Caenorhabditis elegans: one gene and its partner. The protein of the gene in region 2 interacts with the protein of the main gene of each other region in a pairwise test. Each region holds a gene or a part of one and is shown on either strand. Other genes may lie near its edges. The genes, in order: npp-13 and npp-11.

What was found.
Region 1: the proteins of npp-11 (region 2) and npp-13 interact in a two-hybrid assay, tested with the Caenorhabditis elegans proteins (one study listed by BioGRID).

The regions. Positions count from the first base shown.
Region 1 is NC_003279.8:2,095,303-2,100,351, reverse strand, and holds the start of npp-13 (Nuclear pore protein), read right to left. Parts: upstream 3,007-5,049; 5' UTR 3,006-3,006; coding exon 2,907-3,005; intron 2,853-2,906; coding exon 2,613-2,852; intron 1,763-2,612; coding exon 1,646-1,762; intron 1-1,645.
Region 2 is NC_003279.8:3,815,961-3,822,134, reverse strand, and holds npp-11 (Nsp1_C domain-containing protein), read right to left. Parts: upstream 4,062-6,174; 5' UTR 4,057-4,061; coding exon 3,945-4,056; intron 3,898-3,944; coding exon 3,805-3,897; intron 3,734-3,804; coding exon 2,254-3,733; intron 2,204-2,253; coding exon 1,733-2,203; intron 1,128-1,732; coding exon 940-1,127; intron 885-939; coding exon 811-884; 3' UTR 639-810; downstream 1-638. Other genes in the region: E3 ubiquitin-protein ligase ubr-1, read left to right, coding at 5,339-5,492, 5,547-5,797, 6,004-6,174.

The DNA of each region.
Region 1 (5,049 bases), 1.7 Mb from region 2:
TTATAAACGAGCACGGAACTCTGGTTCCGCTCATAAATTGAAATGGAAGAGTTTTTGCCGAACTAGGCCAGGTCATATCTGGGGGTAGATTTACGGTGCGTTGCGTGTCGCGTCGCGGCTCGATTTTTGTTGTAAAACTAAATGTATTTGTCCGTGTGGAGTACACGACTTTCCCAAGGCGATTGTCAATGGAGCGCGAAAAATTCTATGAGGAAGGCCAGAACCCCCTGTTTTCCATGGTCTCCCGGAGTGTTCATAATTATTCGAGCACGACACCTCACGAACTCCAGAATTCGCGGGAATTCGATTCGCGCGGGGACAGCAGTTTTTGGCTATTTCCGGCTTCTATAGAAATTCTTTTTTGAATTTTTTGATTTATAATATTGTTGAGAAGCATCATACGAATTGAAAATGTGTAAAATTATGAAATTTGACCGAAAACTGAAGGTTTTACTTCAAAATCTATCAGAACCGTCAGTTTTTCGATTTCGTAGTCGTAAAATATGTCATTTTGTAGAGAGAAAAGAGTATTTTACAAAAATCGACGTTTGAAAATTTAAAATTGTTTTTATTAAAAACTGAAAATCTTTTATAAAAAAAAACGATTTTAAAGTAAAATTGTTGATTTTTTGAATATTTTTATATTAGAAATTAAAGGTGGAGTACCGAAATTTGAGACTTTGCTTTTTTAGACCTAAAATGTTCCAAAACTACCGAATTTCGTGGTGAGGCGTTCTGAAAATTTCTCAACAAAAAAGTTATGTCCGTTCAAAGTTTTGGAAAAAATGGTAGATTTTTAGCTAAAATCTCAAATATTAGCAGCTTTTCAGTGTTGCAGCGGTTGGAACTTAATTTTATTTGATTAGCACTCTTTAATACATATTATGGTAGTTTATTACGCGTTTATTCGTTGATTTAAGCCCATTTTCGGTCGATGGGTGCACAAATATAATACAATTTTGTGCACCCATCAACCCAAAATGGGCTCAAATCAACGAAAAAACGCGTAATAAACTACCATAATATGTATTAAAGAGTGCTAGTCAAATAAAAATTGAGTACCAACCGATGCAGCACTGAAAAGCTGACAAATTTGAGATTTTAGCTGAAAATAGACCATTTCTTCCAAAACTTTGAGCGGTCGTAACTTTTTTTTGTTGAGAAATTTTCAGAACGTCTCATTACGAAATTTGGTAGTTTTGGAACATTTTGGGTCCAAAAAAGCAAAGTCTAAATTTTTGGTGCTCCACCTTTAATTTAATATAAAAATACTCAAAAAAACAACAATTTTACGTTAAAATCTTATTTTTTCTAGACTTTTCAGTTTTTAATAAAAACAATTTTCAATTTTAAATTTTCAAACGTGGATTTTTGTGAAACAGACTTTTATCTACAAAATTAAATATTTTACGACTTTGAAATCAAAAAACTGACGGTTCTGATACATTTTAAAGAAAGCCTTCTGTAAAACCGTCAGTTTTTGGTCAAATTTCATAATTTTAAACATTTTCAATTCGGAAAAATGCTTCTCAACAACATTATAAATCAAAAAAATAGAAAATAATATCTATAGAAGTGCGCGCGAAACGAATTCCCTCGAATTCTGGAGTTCGTGAGGTGTGCCGCGCAAGGGATTTTAACGAACATCTCGTTCCATAGCCTGTGCTGGATTCATGGGAACTGCGGCAGGTCTCGAAAGAAGCATGTGGTTGAAGAATGCTCGATCCGTCTCCACTTTAACACGAGAAATGTCCTCGTCGAGCTGGAAAATTTAAAGATTAAAACGTTGTTTTCATGATAAATTATTAATTAATCACGGCCACCTGGAGTGTTCATAATTATTAGAGCGCGCTCGCGCGGCACCTCACGAACTCCAGAATTCGCGGGAACACGTTCCGCGGGAACAGCAGTTTTTTTTATTTTTGACTTCTATAGGAAATATCTTTGATTTTTTGTTTTATAATATTCTTGAGAAGCATCATCCGAATTGAAAATGTGTAAAATTATAAAATTTGGCCGAAAACTGAAAGTTTTACAGAAGGAAGCCACTACAGTTTTTAAAAAAATGTATCAGGACCAGTTTTGCGATTTATGTGTCGTAAAATATGTCATTTTGTAGAGAATTAAAAGTTTCATAAGAATTTTTGTTTGAAAATTTAAAATTGTTTTTATTGAAAACTTAAAAATTGAAGAAATAAGATTTTAACGTAAAATTGTTGATTTTTTGAATATTTTTTTATTAGAAATTAACGAATTAAAATTTCAAACGAAAATTTTTATGAAACTTTTAATTCTCTACAAAATGACATATTTTACGACGCATAAATCGCAAAACTGGCGATCCTGATACATTTTTTCAAAAACTATAGTGGCTTTCTTCTGTAAAACTTCCAGTTTTCGGCCAATTTCATAATTTTACACATTTTCAATTCGGATGATGTTTCTCAAGAATATTATAAAACAAAAAATCAAAAATATTTCCTATAGAAGCCAAAAATAACAAAAAACTGCTGTTCCCGCGGAACGAACTCCCGCAAATTCTGGAGTTCGTGAGGTGCCACGCGAGCTCGCTCCAATAATTATGAACACTCAAGGAGGCCGTGATTAAGTACTTCTTCCTCGTCAATATCATCCATTACAGCTTCAGGCACGTCCACGACACCTTCATCAGTGAGAGTATCCTCGGCGGTGTGACTTTTCGGCTGGCGGCTCGGAAGTTCGATGCCACGCTCCCCAAACATCATCTGCTTCTGAACTGAGTGCGTCTGACGTGTCCAGTCGCCTTCTGAACCGCCTAAAATACCGCAAAGCTCCTGCTCGACGCCATTTCGGACTGTGAATTGCTGCGAGTTCTGGAAAAAGGGAATTTTTCGGTGTTTTTAACATTTTAAACATTATTTACAAACCTCTTGGCCGACACGGTTGGTTTGGAAAATCGGATTAGCAAGCAATTGTGCGAATCCTTGATGATCAACTCTTCCGAGGATCTCCGTAAACTGTAGCATCCTGAATTGAATTAAAAATTGAGAAAATTACTGGTTTAGGTTTTTTCAAGGATTTACAACATTAACCAGTTTACATTAACCACATTTTCCAGTTTAAACCCTGAAAAATATGAAAATAATCGAAAAATATCGTTAAAAAACGTTTTAAAAACCAAATAATTCTCGTTTTTCGCGGCAAAACGAAAATTAATTTTGAAAAAATCGGTGCAACGACACTCCGAAATCCCGCATGAATCCTAGGCCAGTATTTCGAGTTCTAGGCCACCAGCTTCTTGGCACATTGCCAAGAGCTGAATTTAAATTAATTTCCGCTGGAATTGAATCGAATTCAGTACAAATTGAGTGGGAAAATGAAAAACTTACAAAAAAATTGAAAAAAAAAACATTTTCGATGAAAATGTTTCAAGAAAATTGAGTATTATTTTTAAAGAAAAACGAAAAAAAAGACATAAATTCGGGAGCGTGTCGTAGCATCCACATTATCGACTTTTCCGGTTAGAAGTACACCGCCAGATGGTAGATCGGTCTCAGGAACTCATGGAGCAGATAATAAATCACAAATTGGATGATTTGAACACTAAAAAACATTAAATTTCTTTTAAAAAAATGAATTATTTAGTGACAGTTGTGTCGAGAGCTTTTTTAATCAGTAAATGTTTTACTGGTCTATGGAAAATAATTATAAGTAAAAATTACTGGAACACAGAATTCAGAGAGCCCGTATTGCGCAACATATTTGGCGCGCAAAATATCTCGCAGCGAAAACTACAGTAATTCTTTAAATTCTTTAAATTACTGTAGTTTTCGCTACGAGATATTAATAATTTTGCGCGTCAAATTTGTTGCGCAATACGCATTCTCTGAATTTTGTGTTCCCGTGATAATTCAACAATTTTTCAGTGTAAAACAAATCAGGGATTTCTTTTGAAAGTTTCGGGTTTTTTTTCCACCACGCGGGGTACTGTGGCACCGGTTTCAGCTGTGTCAATGGGGAAATGTGTGAAATTGAAGCATTCCCAGGCATGATGGGGGTCATTTTACAGCTGAAAATCGAGAAATTCGAATTTAACGACAATTTAAAGAACATTTTTGAAATGAAAAAATTTCCAAAAAAATTGTTTTTTTTTCCCCAATTTCACTTTTTTCTCTAAATTACTCTAAAATTCACATTCTCCTCATTCTCAGCTTCAAAATGACTCCCATCTTGCCCATTTTCTGCCAAATTTCAAATTTTCGGGTCCCACCACGCAGGGTACTGTAGCACCGGTTTCAGATGTGTCAGTAACCTAAATAGAGGGTTCTTAGGCATGATGGGGACTCATAATTTGAAATGGAAGAGTTTTTGCCGAACTAGGCCATTTTGGTTCGGCCATATCTGGAGTAGATTTACGGCGCGTCGCGGCTCGGTTTTAGTTGTAAAACTAAATGTATTTGTCCGCGTGGAGTACACGACTTTCCCAGTCCGGCGGGCGATTGTCAATGGAGCGCGAAAAATTCAACGAGGAAGGCCAGAACCCCGTGTAATTTTACATTAAATTTCGCTTTTGTTGATTAGAAAAACAAGAAAATATATTCATAATTTTCTCTAAAAACAAAAAAAACCAATTTTTATAAAAATTTCGTAAAAACGGGACACTTAATTAGAGTACTACGGGGTTATTGCCTTCCTCATTGAATTTTTCGCGCTCCATTGACAATCGCCTGCCGGACTGGGAAAGTCGTGTACTCCACACGGACAAATACATTTAGTTTTACAACTAAAATCGAGCCGCGACGCGACACGCAACGCGCCGTAAATCTACCCCAGATATGGCCGAGCCAAAACGGCCTAGTTCGGCAAAAACTCTTCCATTTCAAGGGAAGCCAGAAATCAGTGTGTAATGTGAATACACCAAATTCGACGCGCAAAGTTTGAAAATTCACAAAATCCTCACCAAAGTGCCAATTAATATCCAATTACCACCACACCCACATCAATCTCAATATACCCCTTTTCCTTCAGATAACCATCTATATGGTTCTCCTCCCCTCTTCCAAAATGCTC
Region 2 (6,174 bases):
ATTTCTAAGAAAAGTTTAGTTTTTCGATTTTAGCAAAAAATTGAAAACCTGACACCCTCGATTTTCAATACAGGTGGTTACTCCTTCGAGGAATCTTACGATATTTGATGAAAAGTAGGGTTTCCAGTCTCGAAACGATCGATCTCGCAGCTACCGTACTTTCAAAAATCACAAAATACTAACATTTGACTAGGAGCTCCTAGGGATGCAAGATAAATTGATGAAATCAAAAAAGAGAAACATCACTGTAAACGTTTTCAAAATCACAAGGAAAAGCAATTAGAAATTTCTAGAGCATCAAAAACTATGATAAGGATCTTTTGATAACAATAGTGACCCCCGCAAATGGGGGAAATTCAACGAAATTCGTTGAAATTTAAAGAGCAAGAGGTAAATACTTGGGTATAACTTGGGCCACATATTAAAATGTTAATTTTTTTAGTTAAATAAAATTTTCCAAGCCAAAAAAAAAAAAAAAATGAAGAAATAAAACAATTAATTATATTTAAAATTTAATTTTAAAATGTAGAGTTAAAATACACAAGTAAATATTTTCCAAACAAGAAAATATAAAATATATCAGTGTAATTTTAAAAAACACTTGAAAAAAAAAACCAAAATATAATCAATATTTTTTAAAAACAAGTTCATTCACAAACTCAACCAAACACACAACAAAACAGACAATAACAAAAAAAATAAATAGTGTGATGGTGGTGATCATGAAGAAAACAGGTGAAAGTGTATAGGTTTAAAGAATTAGAGTTTCAATTTAAAGAAAAAATGAATATATAAATAAAAAGTAAGAATCTAGGCCTTCGACGAGTTGTTCGTTTTCAGATTGTGGTCATCCTTCAGCTTGTTCAGCTTATCACGAGTAGCATCTGTAAAATAAAAATTGACATTTAATAATTTGATTAAAAACTCTAAAATTAGTACCGTGTTGAGTGGAGAGATCCATCAGCTTCTGCAGCTGCTTCTTCATAATAAGCTCAGTTTTCTCCAGCGGGGTCTCGGTTTTCGTCTTCAAAACTGTCGATTGCATTGTGTTAAGTGACTTGGTGATTTGATCGAGATCGAAGTCCGCACATTTCATTTGGGAATCCACGTTGAGCATCATTTGAGCGCTGGAATTTTTTTTTGAAATTATTATTTTGATTTTTAAGGGGAGTAAGGTCCAGGGCTGTCGCTTTTTGCTTTTTTTCTTTCGTCTTCAAGACTGTCGATTGCATTGTGTTAAGTATTTTCGGAACAAAAAACAAAAAAAATGCTTTCAAAAAGTTTTAGTTATTATGATTTTAAAAAAAACCTGTGGATTTTTTTGCTTAAATATTCAAAAACTCTCAACAAGAAAAAAATCTGATAGTTTTATGGCAGGATTTTGCGAAATTTTGTCAACTTTTTCTTTGTCGCAGCGGCTGAAATATAGTTTTTATCGAATTATCCCGATTTATTGCATATTTTGATTATTTATCTGGCGTTAATTCGTTAATTTAGTCATATTTTAAGTCGATAGCTATTCAAAAATTACGAAAATTGGATGCAAATCGAGCCAAATCAACGGAACAGCGTGAGATAATCAACCAAAGCATGCCAAATAGGGCAATATATGAAAAAAAATCAATTTCCATCGGCTTTTACAAAGAAAAAGTTGGGAAAACTGAAGTTTTTAGCTAAATTTAATATATTTCTTAAAAATTTAATCCATTAAAAATCAATAACTTTGACGTACATTTGCACTCTCTGAACATCATGTCTCGACGCAAATCTGCTATCAAGTGGGAATTTGTAATCAAGAGTATGCCATTCTGGAAGGCTCAGCTTGTTCTCTAGCTCAACAACATTTTGCTCAATATCGTTCAAGACAGAAGTCATGGAGGCGACGTTGAAATGCAGTTTCTTGCAGCTTCCACTCAAATCATCCATCTCATTGTACAATCCTAAAACTTTTGGCTCGAGTGTAATGAGCTCACGGTCATAAGCATTAAGCTCGAGCATTTTATTATGGAATACTCGTTCCTGCTTCGCAATTTCCGAATGATAACTATTGACAACTTCTTGAAGGGCGGTGAAGAAGGCTTTTGTATCATTTCCACCGAGTCCTGCTTTGATTTCTTCTTCAGAAAGTGTGTCGCTTCCACTTGCACCAATTTTCAGGCCTGCAGATGTAGTTGCAGCTCCTTTAAGTCCTGATGTTGTCCATCTGAAATTAAGAGTTTTTTTTATATTTTTAAAAAGTAAACCAAAATGTACCCAGTTCCCTTAGCCAATGGTGTTGAAGTGAGCCCTAGGCCAAGTCCAAGAGTTGGAGTAGCTTCTGCTGGCTTTGGAAGAGTGGAAGTAGTGCTGGTTGTGGTTGGAAGAGATGGAGTTGCTGACACTGTAGATGGAGTTTGTCCCAATGTAGCGGCAGTAGCAGGTGTTGTTGTAGTTGCTGCTCCAAACAATCCACCGGTCGGACCTACAGTTGCTGGTGCAGTTGTAGTCGCAGCCCCGAACAGGCCACCAGTCGGAGCTGCTGCGGCGGGAGCAGTTGTGGTTGCTGCTCCGAATAATCCACCAGTCGGAGCTGTAGAAGCAGGCGTAGTTGTGGATGAAGCACCGAACAATCCTCCAGTAGAAGCCGCTGGAGCTGCACTAGTAGCTGTTGTGGTTGCTGGAGCTGTTCCGAACAAAGATCCAGTAGCTGGAGCTGATGTGGTGGTTGTCGATGATGCTCCAAAGAGTCCTGCTGTTGGTGCGGCTGGGGTCTTAGCAGGAGTTGACGATCCGAAGAGACCTCCGGTTGGAAGTGAAGCGGCCGGAGCAGCGGCGGTAGATCCGAATAATCCCCCAGTTGTAGATGAGGTTGGTGCTGCGGCTGCGGCGGTGGTGGCTCCGAACAATCCTCCAGTTGAAGCTGCCGCTGGGGCGGTGGCAGGGGCTGCCGCAGCGGTTGTAGAAGCACTAGAATTACCGAACAATCCAACAGATGGAGTGGATGCTGAAGCAGCACCAATGCTGAAAAGACCTCCAGTAGCAGCGGCGGGAGCAGTAGAGGCTCCGAAAAGACCACCAGTGGCTGGAGCGGACGAAGGAGCAGATGTTGGTGCTCCGAACAATCCTGATGTGGCAGTTGTAGTTGCAGCGGTGGTTGCAGGAGCGGTAGAACCAAAAAGACCTCCCGATGGAGCTGCAGGCTTTGGAGCTGCGCCGAATAGTCCACCAGATGAAGCTGTCGCAGCAGGTGCTGAATTTCCGAATAATCCAGAGGTTGGAGCAGCATTGCTAGTAGCTGGTGCAGCCCCGAACAAACCACCAGAAGGAGCTGGGGCTGTGGAAGTTGGAGCAGCTGAAGATCCGAATAAGCCGCCGGATGGAGCCGCTGTAGAGGTGGAAGTGCTTCCAAATAGTCCTCCTGGTGCTGCTGGAGCGGCCGTGGATCCGAATAATCCACTTGATGGCGCAGCAGTTGAGCTACCGAAAAGCCCGCCAGTTGGTGCAGTTGTTGCGGTACTTGTGGATGATCCGAACAAGCCGCCAGTTGGAGCAGCTGGTTTATTAGCTCCGAACATGCCAGCACCAGCTGATGGTGCGCTTGCGCCAAACGTTACTGTAGCAGGTGCTGCTGAATTTGCAGAACTTCCAAAAATGCTCGTTGAAGCGGGAGCTGGCGCCGCGGCACCAGAATTTCCAAAGATTCCAGCAGACGCTGGGGCTGGAGCTGCAGCAGAGGAGCCTCCAAACATTGAGCCTGAAAAATTTAAAATTATACTTTTTGAATACGGGAGCGTATTTTACAAGTTTATTAAACCAAAAACCTACCAGTAGCTGTGCTGTTTCCGAAAAGTCCAGTACTTCCAGTGCTCGGCTGTGCGGATCCAAAAGAAAAACCTCCGGTAGTATTCGTGTTTCCGCCTAAAAACGAAAAAAATAAATTAGTTGAATTTTTCATCGATCGATACCTGTGTTCGCTGTTGATGTGCTCGAATTACCGAAAGAAAATCCAGATGAGGCTGTTGTGGTAGCAGCGGTTCCTCCGAAAATCGACGGTTTTGGTGCAGATCCTCCAAACATTTGATCTGGAATGATATTTTTAATATTTTTAAAGGGCAGCAATATTATTTGACAAAAAGAAAACGACAGAGAGGCAGAAAATAGTCATTTGAGTGCACAAATGAGCGCGTCGAGATTCGAAAAATGATTTGGTGGTCGCGCGAAAATGATGGCCTAAAAACACCGCAGACTAGGCCGGCGGCTGGGAGGAGCACGCGACGTCGGCGTGAAGGAGAAAAATCGAAGATAATTTCATGTGCTGCAGTTAGTTTGAAAATATAAATATTTTTGGGCCCGAATGTCTTTGTGGTTTCTATTGCTATTCTAACTTCTCGATTACAACTTATAATATTGATCCATTTTTTATACTGATATTTTAAAAAAGTTATGAAATGTGAAGAAAGATCTCGATCATCGAAACGATGAGCAAGCTTCTGAATATGCAAAGTTTTCTATCACAAAGGGGTAAAAACGCGGGAGAACCTTTTTTTCCTGCTGACCAAGTACTTTTCACGAAGAAATACTTTAATTTTTGATGAAAATAAAAAAGAAAACTATATACAAACTCAAAAATCTAACAACTCTCAGCGATCCACGCAAATTAGGAAATTGAAAACAAAAAGAGAAATTTGTGTACCGTAGTCCGAACACTTAAAGGCGCATGCCTCACCTTCAGGGTCTCGCCACGATCCACTTCCCAAGGGTTTTATTTTTATTTTTTTAGATTGTTTTTTTTCGCGAAATCAGTTATTTTTTCGGTGAAAAAGTATATTTTATTGCTTTTAAAGTCAAATAACTTTTATTAAAATATAGTTTTAAATTATTTTGACGTTATATGAGTGAAACATTCAAAGTCCACGTGCTCTAAAGTCTGATTTTAAAAAAAAGTTTTTTTTTATTGCTTCGCCAGTGAATTCGCTGACACGTAAAAATAATCAATATTTTTAATAGTTCAATTTCCTCATTGTTGAATTATTTAATCCACGATGCATTGCACCGAGTCCGTGAGAGCTCTTTATCTGCGGCAACACTCTCGCATCGAAAACAGAGAGAGAGAGAAGCAAATCTATATCCTCCCGTTCTCTCTCATCTCCTTCACTTTCTCCTAGTGTCCACTGTCATCATTTTTGCCTCCCATCACTGCTTTTTGTCCTCTCGTTCGCTTATTTTGATATGGTCATCAGCAGCATAATCGGGGGGTCGGAAAATAATCAATATATTTTATTTTCTTTTACGAATCCTCTTTTTCTTAGATGAAATGCTCCTATTTTATCAAGCTACCGATTTCAGTTCGACTAATGGAATGATTGTCGATTTAATACAATCAGCTCGACAGGGTGAATGGGCCCAAGTACGCCAGCTGCTGCTCAAGCACTGGCTTGTACAGGTCCCAGAGGTGTTCGAAGTGAATTCGGATTTGCCATGGGACAATACAGCCGCGAATGAACGAATTCTAGGTGGGTTTTTTTGAAAAAAAAAACATATATATTAAAAAGCCAATTTTGCTTCAGGTTCCCAAGGAGAGATTCTCCTAGCCCCACTGGTCAGTGCATTTGTACTAGACGTTCGGAACACAAAGAGCACACTGGAAGCAATGAATGGCATTGCCGGAGTTGATCCTGCAAGACGGGGACAAATTTGTGGCCATGTATTTAAAAACGGAGAACTTACGTATACATGTCTGGATTGTGCCACTGATGGGACATGTGTCATGTGTCTTCAGTGTTTTGAAGTTTCAATTCATAAATCTCATAAATACAAAGTGAGGATGCCTCAAAATGAATCAATTTCCACAGAAAATTTCTGAAAAAAAACATTCAGATTTTAGCCGAAACTTGCCCTTTTTCTCGAAATTTTAAACCAACATAGACAAAATCTTGAAAAGTTTTTGATTATTTTGAGCGAATATGAATGATAAAACACGCATATTTAAGTAAATCCAATTTATAATTGAAAAAAAATTTCCAGATGCACTCTTCCTCCGGTTCGGGATATTGTGACTGTGGTGATGCAGATGCATGGACAGAAGGTTACGCATGTGCAAATCACGAGAAAAAGGACGATGAAGAGGCGGCAGTGTTGGCTCCAGAATTGAAAAAACGATGTGAACAGCTGGTGGAAATCATTTTACAGTTTTCC